Caenorhabditis elegans: one gene and its partner. The protein of the gene in region 1 interacts with the protein of each later gene in a pairwise test. Each region holds a gene or a part of one and is shown on either strand. Other genes may lie near its edges.

Region 1 (3,761 bases):
TTTTCATCTTCATTTTTTATTGTTCTTGGCTAAGAACTTGTCATGTGATCTGTTCAGAATCGCAATGATTATTGATTTTTACCTGATTCCTTGACAAGTTCCCATTATTTTTTCGTTCATTTTTGTTGTTTGCATTATTTCTATCGATATATCTCATTGATGAAAAAGCCAGCAAAAAAGAGCAAAAGAGAGCAATAACTCCACTAAATGAGAAAAATAAAGTAAAAGAATACATAATGGCTGTGATCTCGAAAAAAAATCAGCGAAAGAATAAAAGACGGGCCACTGAAAAGTGAACGAGTACAAAAAGAGCCCCTCCCGAGTGACGAGTAAAAAACGAGTTAATTTTCAATAAAACACAGGTATTTTTGCGGAAACCGGTGTGTTTTCGTCGTATTTAGCCGTGAATTGCCAGAAAATAAATGATTTTAATTTTTTTTTTCTTTGTTCTTTCTTAACTTTATTCCTCCAATTTTTCTTGCTTCGACGTTGCAATCGTCACATTTTATCTTTGATTTGATCGTCATTTCATTTATTTCCGAATTTGAACGCAAAAAGCTCGAAAATCAAGGTTTGTGACTCCTAATAATTACTGCAGAAAGTAAGAAATTCTCGGCATTTTGAAAGGCGGAAAGATGAACTATCCTAGATTGGCGCAAAGGCATTGATCTATACTGTCTGCGGCGGCCGGTTTCTATTAAGCTTTCATTTTTCTCCAGCACATTCTTCAGAAGCGCCACATTGCTTTAGTCGGAAATGCGGGTCATCTATTTAGAAAGTTTGGCGCTTTGTATTTGATTTAATATTAATTTTCTCATCTGATTCTATTTATTAGTCACAGTATCTCGTGCTGCACTCTTGTGACACGTGTCCTTTTTTCAGAGTTTTTAATTGCGTCACGATTTTCAAAATTTCTCAACAATGCGCTCGCGTTCAATAGGTTTTTCTTCTCTCAAAAAGCATTTTTCATCACTTTCTTAATGTTGCAGTTTATCGTCTTATCACTCGAAAAAGTTTGTTTCAAAGTTCAAATTTTAGAACTTTCGGGTTCATTCAATCAATCAATCAAGATTTCACTGAAGGATTGAAAGATTCAACGTACGGCTGACGTGGAGTCAGTAGAAGGAACTCGAACATTACTATTCTCGTTCCTGTGTGTATGTGTTCTTCATCCTTCCGTCCTGCACTAGCGGACAAATTTGGACGGTCTCTTGTTCTTTTTCGCTCTCTCCTCATCTCTTGCGGTACTTTCACGTCTCGGTCTCTTCACTTATTGCCATCTATCTCCTCTTATTCGACCGCTGCGCAACGCACGCGACGCGCCCAGCGAACAAGACAAAAAGCAGCGTCGAGAGGTTGAGAGAGGAAGAGACACTCCACTGGTCGCCAGAGACTGCTGTGCTAGTGACACGTTGGACGGTGTAGCCGATGTATTTCTGCTGGATTCTCGCTCCTTGCGCCTGTTATAGATATCCATCTCCTTGCCACGTTTTACCCGATTCTTCCTCCTTCCAATCGTCTTCCGTACTTTTTTCTCCGATTGTCGTTGCTGGCATTTTCACGTATTGGATTTGAAATCTTCCCGAATTTTTCGCAATTTCCCACGAAGATTATTGATTCAGCTTTCACATTTTATTAGCGTTCCTTTTCACTTCCATCGGTTCCTCTTCTGAAATTCAATAATTTAATTTATTAATCAATTTATAGAATGGGAAACGTGTTCGGCAGCTTATTTAAAGGCCTCTTCGGCAAACGGGAGATGCGTATTCTGATGGTTGGATTGGATGCTGCCGGAAAGACTACGATTTTGTACAAGTTGAAGCTGGGCGAGATTGTCACGACTATCCCAACTATTGGTGAGTCATTGGGACGTTTTTTTGTTGCGAAAGAACGGTTCACAATGAGTCATAATTTTTATTCATATTTCAGGATTCAACGTGGAGACTGTCGAATACAAGAACATTTCATTCACCGTGTGGGATGTCGGAGGTCAGGACAAGATCCGTCCACTCTGGAGGCATTATTTCCAGAACACACAAGGTTAGTGATTTACGAGAATAGTTTGCGGATCAGCTTATCACCCGCAAGAATTCACAGACTGTCCAAAAAAAATGCTCTATTGATTATATTTTCTTGCAGGACTTATCTTTGTTGTTGATTCCAACGATCGTGAACGTGTTGGAGAGGCTCGTGAAGAGCTGATGCGTATGCTCGCCGAGGATGAGCTTCGTGATGCCGTTCTTCTGGTCTTCGCCAACAAACAAGATCTTCCACAAGCCATGAACGCCGCTGAGGTCACTGACAAGCTCGGGCTCCACTCGCTCAGAAATCGATCGTGGTATATTCAGGTGAGATATTTTTAATCAGCAGTTTCTCATCTGATATTTTAAAACTAAAGAAATTCACTATTTTTCAATAATAAATTAATTCCAGGCCACATGTGCGACATCAGGAGATGGTCTCTATGAAGGACTCGATTGGCTCAGCAACCAGCTCAAGAATAGATCTTAAATCATTTTTCTGAATCCACCTTCGACGAATAAACGACTACGAATCATCCGTTTTTGTTATTCGTTTCAACTCCTTTCTTCTCCCCATTCATTCTCTTTGTTCTTCTCTGTTCCATTTGAAATTCCCTCTCCCATCCCTTAGGCTTTTTAATTTGATCACCATCGCCCTCTTCTACTTTTTCAACCCAATTTTTATTTAAAGCCCCAATTCATTTGTCGTCTATTTCTTCTTAACTTCCAAATCCGACATTTTTTCTTATCCGATTACATTTGGAACCGCTCCTGACGGGAATAATATGTAAGTTATTCATTGTTTTTCTCTCCATTTTTGACCTGCTCCGCCCTCCATCTCCCTCAAATATTCCCTGAAACAGTGTTGTGTAACGAGAAGAAGTATGAACGTGTTTCTCTTCTCTTGTTGAACCATTATTCTATTTTTGTGATTTTTGCGCGTAATTGCACACAAACCTACACACAAATCTCGTTTTCATCGTTCCCTTCCCCTCGAACCTTTAATTTCGCTTCTCTTCTATTTCGTATCGAACACTGTTTTGCTTTTCCTCAATTTTTCCGTATTATAGTATCATATTCACCATTTTTTTTGTCGTGGAGTAAATTATTATGTTATATTCACCTGTTGATAATGACAATATGAAAGTATGAAAATGATCTTTTTCCTCAATTTGGACAAGAAATGTTAATTTTTAAGGGTAATTTATTAACACATGAGGCGTTATACTATGTGCAAAAATTTTTAATACGGAAAAACTAAATTCTGGAATTTCGTATTGTGCAACTTGTCTGGCGCACAGATATCACGTAGCGAAAAATACAGAAATTATTTACATTACTACTGTAGCCATGGTCTGATTTTGCTTTGTTCTTTTTCACTTTTTGACTCGGAATGACAGAAAAAAGAAAAATAGGATGAAATTCAAATATTTCGGTCACAATTCGAAAATAAATTATGTTCTAAAATCGAGCCCGTAAATCGACACAAGCGCAACAGTAGTCATTTAGAGAATTACTGTAGTTTTCGCTACGAGATATTTTGCGCGTCGAACATGTTGCTCAATGCGCATTCTCAGTGTTCACGTAATACACTGAAAATACAGTAATCCTACAGTGCTTCTAATGTACCCTGATACTATTCCCAGACGTATTCCAATTCATAACCTCTCCAAATCACCTAAATTGCACAATTAATGGAACTACAGTAATCCAATTATATACTTACTGTACCCTAATACT
Region 2 (4,960 bases), on another chromosome or scaffold:
AAAATAACCATTTTTTCAGTTATTCCGGAAAGAATATGCCAGCTCCAATAACATCGACGAGCAACACTTTGTACCTGTGCTTCTCCTCAGACTTGGTCACCAATTTCTCGGGATTCTCCGGTCTGTATACCTCATTTGTCTCGAACAACTTCAAGCGCGGAGTACTACCACAGGTGAGAAAAGATCTAGGCCGGCTTGGAAGCAGGCAGGCATTTTTGTGCCTAGGTACCTAGGGCTTCACTAAAAACTAATCTTTCAGTCCCTGACAACGGATTCAGTGGCGATTCGTCGTGACAAGAACATTCTCGACTGGCTCAAAAAGAAGGCCGAGGAGAAGAAGCTTATTGGAGCTGCTGCAGCACCGGTTATCTCTATCTAGTAGTCCCCCGAAATTCTCAATATGTAATGAATTATTATTTCTTCGCAATTATTTTTTGCCGCTTACTGTATGAAAGTGAAAGGAAAATTAGAAAATTAGTGATGGGGGGGGGGGGGGGGTGATAAGAGAAATCTGGGTTGAAGGGGGAGGGGTAGGGCGATAAAAAGGGAAATTTTAGGAGGAAGAGAAGCTGGTTTTTAAAAAATAAAATTTTTGTTCTATGCCCGGACGCGGGAAAAATTTCACATTGATCTACAGTAGATCATCATCACGGGCTTCTAGTAGCGGTTTTTCGCGCTCCATTGAAAATCGGTGAGCGGAAATTGCAGTTCGGCAAAGGAAGGTTTCAAATTCGGCAATTTGCCATTTTGCCGATTTGCCGGAAATTTTGAATTCCGGCAAATTTCACGATTAGCCGGAAATTTTCAACTCCGGCAATTTGCCAGTTTGCCGATTTGCCGGAAATTTTCAATTCCGGCAACTCCCCGATTTGCCGGAAATTGTCAATTCCGGCGAGTTCCCGATTTGCCGGAAATTTTCTATTCCGCCAGTTTGCCGATGTGCAGGAAATTTTCAATTATGGCAATTTGCCGATTTGCCGGAAATTTTAAATTCCGGCAAATTTGCCAGTTTGTCCTAAATTGTCAATTCCGGCGATTTCTTGATTTGCCGGACATTTTCATTTCCGGTAATGTGCCAATTTGCCGAAAATTTTAAATTCCGGCATTTTGCCGATTTGCCGAAAATTTTCAATTCCGGCAAAAATCGACCCCAGCCGTGGCCGAGTCAAAATGGCCTGAATATAATCAAATGTGCTCCAACGCACCAGCCGACTGTGACGGACATTATTCAGGGCTTGACCTACAGAAATCGTTTGACCTACTGGCGCCTCATTATAAACTCATATGACGTCACAAATTTCAATAATTTCCCGCGCTTTCTGGAGGTCAAAGTGCCCATCCTCAACAAAACATCCCGTTCAGGGTCCTATCCCCAAGTCTCCAGACCCTAAAGCCTACAATCATAAAGCTTGTCACTAAATAATTGCCATGTTTTTGTCTGCCAATCAACTGACTGTCCCCCTCCTGCTGTGGTATATTCAGAAGATACCAGAAGCTGTAACAAAAGACGCAGGACGTACAAGACAGGTTGAGAGAGACACTGTGGGGGCGCAGACACACACAAAAAAATCAGGGGGCGGGAAGTGAATCGAGAGAGGAAGAAGCTGGCATCTAGAATACCAGACTGACAGGCGACACACACCACGAAAAAAAAACATGTGGACCTTCAACAGATCTACCGCGGAGGCGCCAACTATGCCGTCAAGCTCTAATACGGTAGGTGGTAACTATTTTACTTTTTCTGGAATTTCATTTTGTAAGCTACCACGGATTTCTGGCTTCCCTCTCATAAATTGAAATGGAAGAGTTTGCCAAACTAGGCCATTTTGGCTCGGCCATAAGTGGGGTAGATTTACGGCGCGTTGCGTGTCGCGTCGCGGCTCGATTTTAGTTGTAAAACTAAGTCTATTTGTCCGTGTGGAGTACACGATTTTAACACGCGTTGTCCGCCGGGCGATTGTCAATGGAGCGCGAAAAATTCTCTGAGGAAAGACAGAACCCCGTGATTTTGGCCTAAAAATCATTAAAACAGGAAAATTGCCGAAATAACGGGGTTCTACCCTTCCTCATTGAATTTTTTGCGCTCCATTGATAATCGTCCGAAGGAAAACGCGTGGGTAAATCGTGTACTCCACACGGACAAATGCATTTAGTTTTACAACTAAAATCGAGCCGCGGCGCGACACTCAACTCGCCGTAAATCTACCCCAGTAATGGCCGAGCCAAAATGGCCTAGTTTGGCAAACTCTTCCATTTCAATTTATGAGGGTAATCAGAAATTCGTCATTTTGGCCTAAAAACACCAATTTGGCCTAAAAACATTAAAACCACGGGAAATTTGAAACAGGAAAAAAATGGCAAAAAATTCTTGGAAACCGGCGAAATCGGCATAACTAATCCAAAACGTTCGAATGTACTATTTTGCCGCCAAACACCTAGCGGGTCATGGTGCGGGGGCCGAGAATTTCCTATTGGCAGTGGAGCGCGTTTCCACGTGGATTTTTCTGCGTACCCATAATAGCCGCGTCACACAGTTAGTCACCCAATTTACTACCTAATTGCATGGCCTTTGTGTCGGAACTCGTTTTTTTCGTAATGTCGCAACACATGGTACATAGATAAAAATCTCGAGATAACCTATAGTTCAGTTCAAATGTGAAGCAAATTTACTGGTGAATCGGGAAAAAACTGGTAAATTGTTCGGGATATATACTTATTATACATCAAAAATTGCTCGAAAAATTGTGAATTTCAGCTTTTTTTTCAGGAAATATATATTTTCTAGAAGAAGAATACCGGAAAAAGGTGCGGGTCATTTTGCACGCCATCACGAAATTTTCGCAAATTCCAGCGTTTCCGTCAAAATAGTAAATGTATATTCAAAATTTTTTCATCTAATTATCAAGTGAGGCTGCTCTTTTCAAGTTTCGCTGTAAAGAACCGCCTCTTTTTCGTAGTTTGTTTCACATAAAGTGGTGGTGACTCTGCAATTAAAGGTGTGCAAACGCGCTCTGTGGTTACGTGCAAGAGAGAAGAGATTTAGAGAAGTTGGAGGGAATATTAATTGTTTTTTTTTGTTTTTAATTGTTTTTATGTGTTTTTTTCGCATTTTTCGTTGATTTTTCGTTAAAAAACTTCAAAAACAATAATTTTCATTCAAAAATTTCAATTTTTCCAGAAAAAATCACTGAAAATGGCAGATAACGACAGAAAACGAAAGCATAACCGATGGAATCAAAAGTGAGAGCTAAAATTTGAGAAAAAAAAACTATTCTAAGACAATTTCAGAGTTAAACAAAAATCTGTGGAAGCCGGAGTGACCGGACTATTCTTTTCCTGCGAAGGCCACGAAAAGCAGGCCCTACAAGAAGCCTACAGTATTATTGACGAGCTTCTCGAAGACCCGGCGAATGGAATCTCTCTTAAAGCACCAGAAGCTGCTCCACAAGGCTCAGAAGCACCCGGAAATCCAGCAGAAGCTGAAGATTCCGATGAAGACATTGCCGATGCGTTGAAAAAGGCTTGTGATGATCAGAGGCAGCCGAAGCCGGGAAATTTCGTGAAAAAAGAGAGAAGATGCATTCAAAGACCGACGGGAGTGAAGAATTGCATTTTTGTGAGCGTGAAAAACGCGAATATTCAACTTTTAGCCGAAAAAATGGTCGAGCTGACGCAAAAAGCTCCGCGTTGCAGGTTTTTGCAACGAGTTTACCCGGTGGAGCATACTTTAGCTGTGGATCTTTCAAAAATGAATGAAGTTTTGATGAAGGTGCTTTTATTTAATTAAATTAATTAATAAAATAAAAAAAAGTAATTTTTCAGGTAATCTCCGACACATTGAAGGCAGACGGCACTGGCAAACTTCCCACGTATTCCGTGGAATTTAAAGCGAGAAATAACGATTCTGTGGCGAAGAATTCCGTGCTCCAAATGGTCGATGACGCCGTTTGTGCGCTGGCTCCGACTGCGAGAGTTAGCCTAAATCGTTAGTGTCTCTAAAAATCTGAAAAAATTTCAAAAAAATCAAAAAATCAATGATTCCAGACGCCGACGTCACATTCTTCGTTCAAGTATCTCGTACGACAATTATGGTTGGCGTGTGCCGGCAATTTTACGACCGCCGAAAGTATAGTCTTCGTGCGACGCCGGCAGCGGCAGCGACATAAGTCTCTTCTTCGACCTTTTTCCCCCTTTCACCCAGCGCCTCATTGGCTCAGTGGCAGAGCGTCTGTCTAGTAAACAGAAGGTCGCTGGTTCGATTCCAGCATGAGGCACCGAATTTTTTTTGTTTTTTTCATTTGTTCTGTTAAAATACTTTGGCTATTTATTTGTTAAAATACATGAAATTTGAGATTCGATTGTTAATTATTTTTTAAATGCATGGTATCTATAACTGTGACGTGTCAAAAACTCAGGTCGACCCTTGCTCGCGCGCGTCTCATGCACAACCGAGCAAGAAAAAAAACGTGCAACCAACCCGAAAATCTAGCTCACCCGTTCTGCGCACTCCCCAAAATCAACACTATTTCGCTCTCTCGCAGCTCTTCCAAATTGTCAAACAAACCGAGTAGTTACACGCACCCCCCGCCGAAACTCGGGAGCATTCAATCTGGCCTGGTTTTCCAGTATGCTGAAATTTTTTGGACTATTGTAAATTGTTTGTGAAAAAGGTCTCGCCACGAACGAAATATTTTTACAATAATCATTTGTGTGAAATGCTGTGCGTCTTTTTACCCGTTTATTGCAATTTTCACATGGTGTCAGGTTGTCCCATAACGGTTTGATCTACAAAAAATGCGGGATTTTTTCCACCAAAAAATGTGACGCCATCTGCACGTTCTTAACCATGCAAAATCAATTGAGAAGTCTGCGTCCAAATTCCCGCATTTTTGTAGATCAAACCGTTATGGGGCATTCTGACACCACGTGATTTTTCTGAAATTCTCTTAATTTTACGCCA

The links.
Region 2: the proteins of arf-1 (region 1) and kel-8 interact in a two-hybrid assay, tested with the Caenorhabditis elegans proteins (one study listed by BioGRID).

What each region holds. Positions count from the first base shown.
Region 1 is NC_003281.10:5,714,408-5,718,168, forward strand, and holds arf-1 (ADP-ribosylation factor 1-like 2), read left to right. Parts: upstream 1-1,707; 5' UTR 1,708-1,708; coding exon 1,709-1,856; intron 1,857-1,929; coding exon 1,930-2,040; intron 2,041-2,139; coding exon 2,140-2,348; intron 2,349-2,433; coding exon 2,434-2,511; 3' UTR 2,512-3,137; downstream 3,138-3,761. UniProt on the Caenorhabditis elegans protein: Small GTPase involved in protein trafficking between different compartments. Modulates vesicle budding and uncoating within the Golgi complex. In its GTP-bound form, triggers the recruitment of coatomer proteins to the Golgi membrane.
Region 2 is NC_003283.11:2,669,808-2,674,767, forward strand, and holds the start of kel-8 (BTB domain-containing protein), read left to right. Parts: upstream 1-1,656; coding exon 1,657-1,716; intron 1,717-3,178; exon of another isoform or gene 3,179-3,193; coding exon of another isoform or gene 3,194-3,240; intron 3,241-3,288; coding exon of another isoform or gene 3,289-3,769; intron 3,770-3,822; coding exon of another isoform or gene 3,823-3,985; intron 3,986-4,044; coding exon of another isoform or gene 4,045-4,166; exon of another isoform or gene 4,167-4,360; intron 4,361-4,960. Other genes in the region: W02G9.4 (CUB domain-containing protein), read left to right, coding at 20-173, 260-379; thum-1 (THUMP domain-containing protein), read left to right, coding at 3,194-3,240, 3,289-3,769, 3,823-3,985, 4,045-4,166. UniProt on the Caenorhabditis elegans protein: Substrate-specific adapter of a BCR (BTB-CUL3-RBX1) E3 ubiquitin ligase complex that regulates degradation of glutamate receptors in neurons. The BCR(kel-8) ubiquitin ligase complex mediates ubiquitination and subsequent degradation of rpy-1.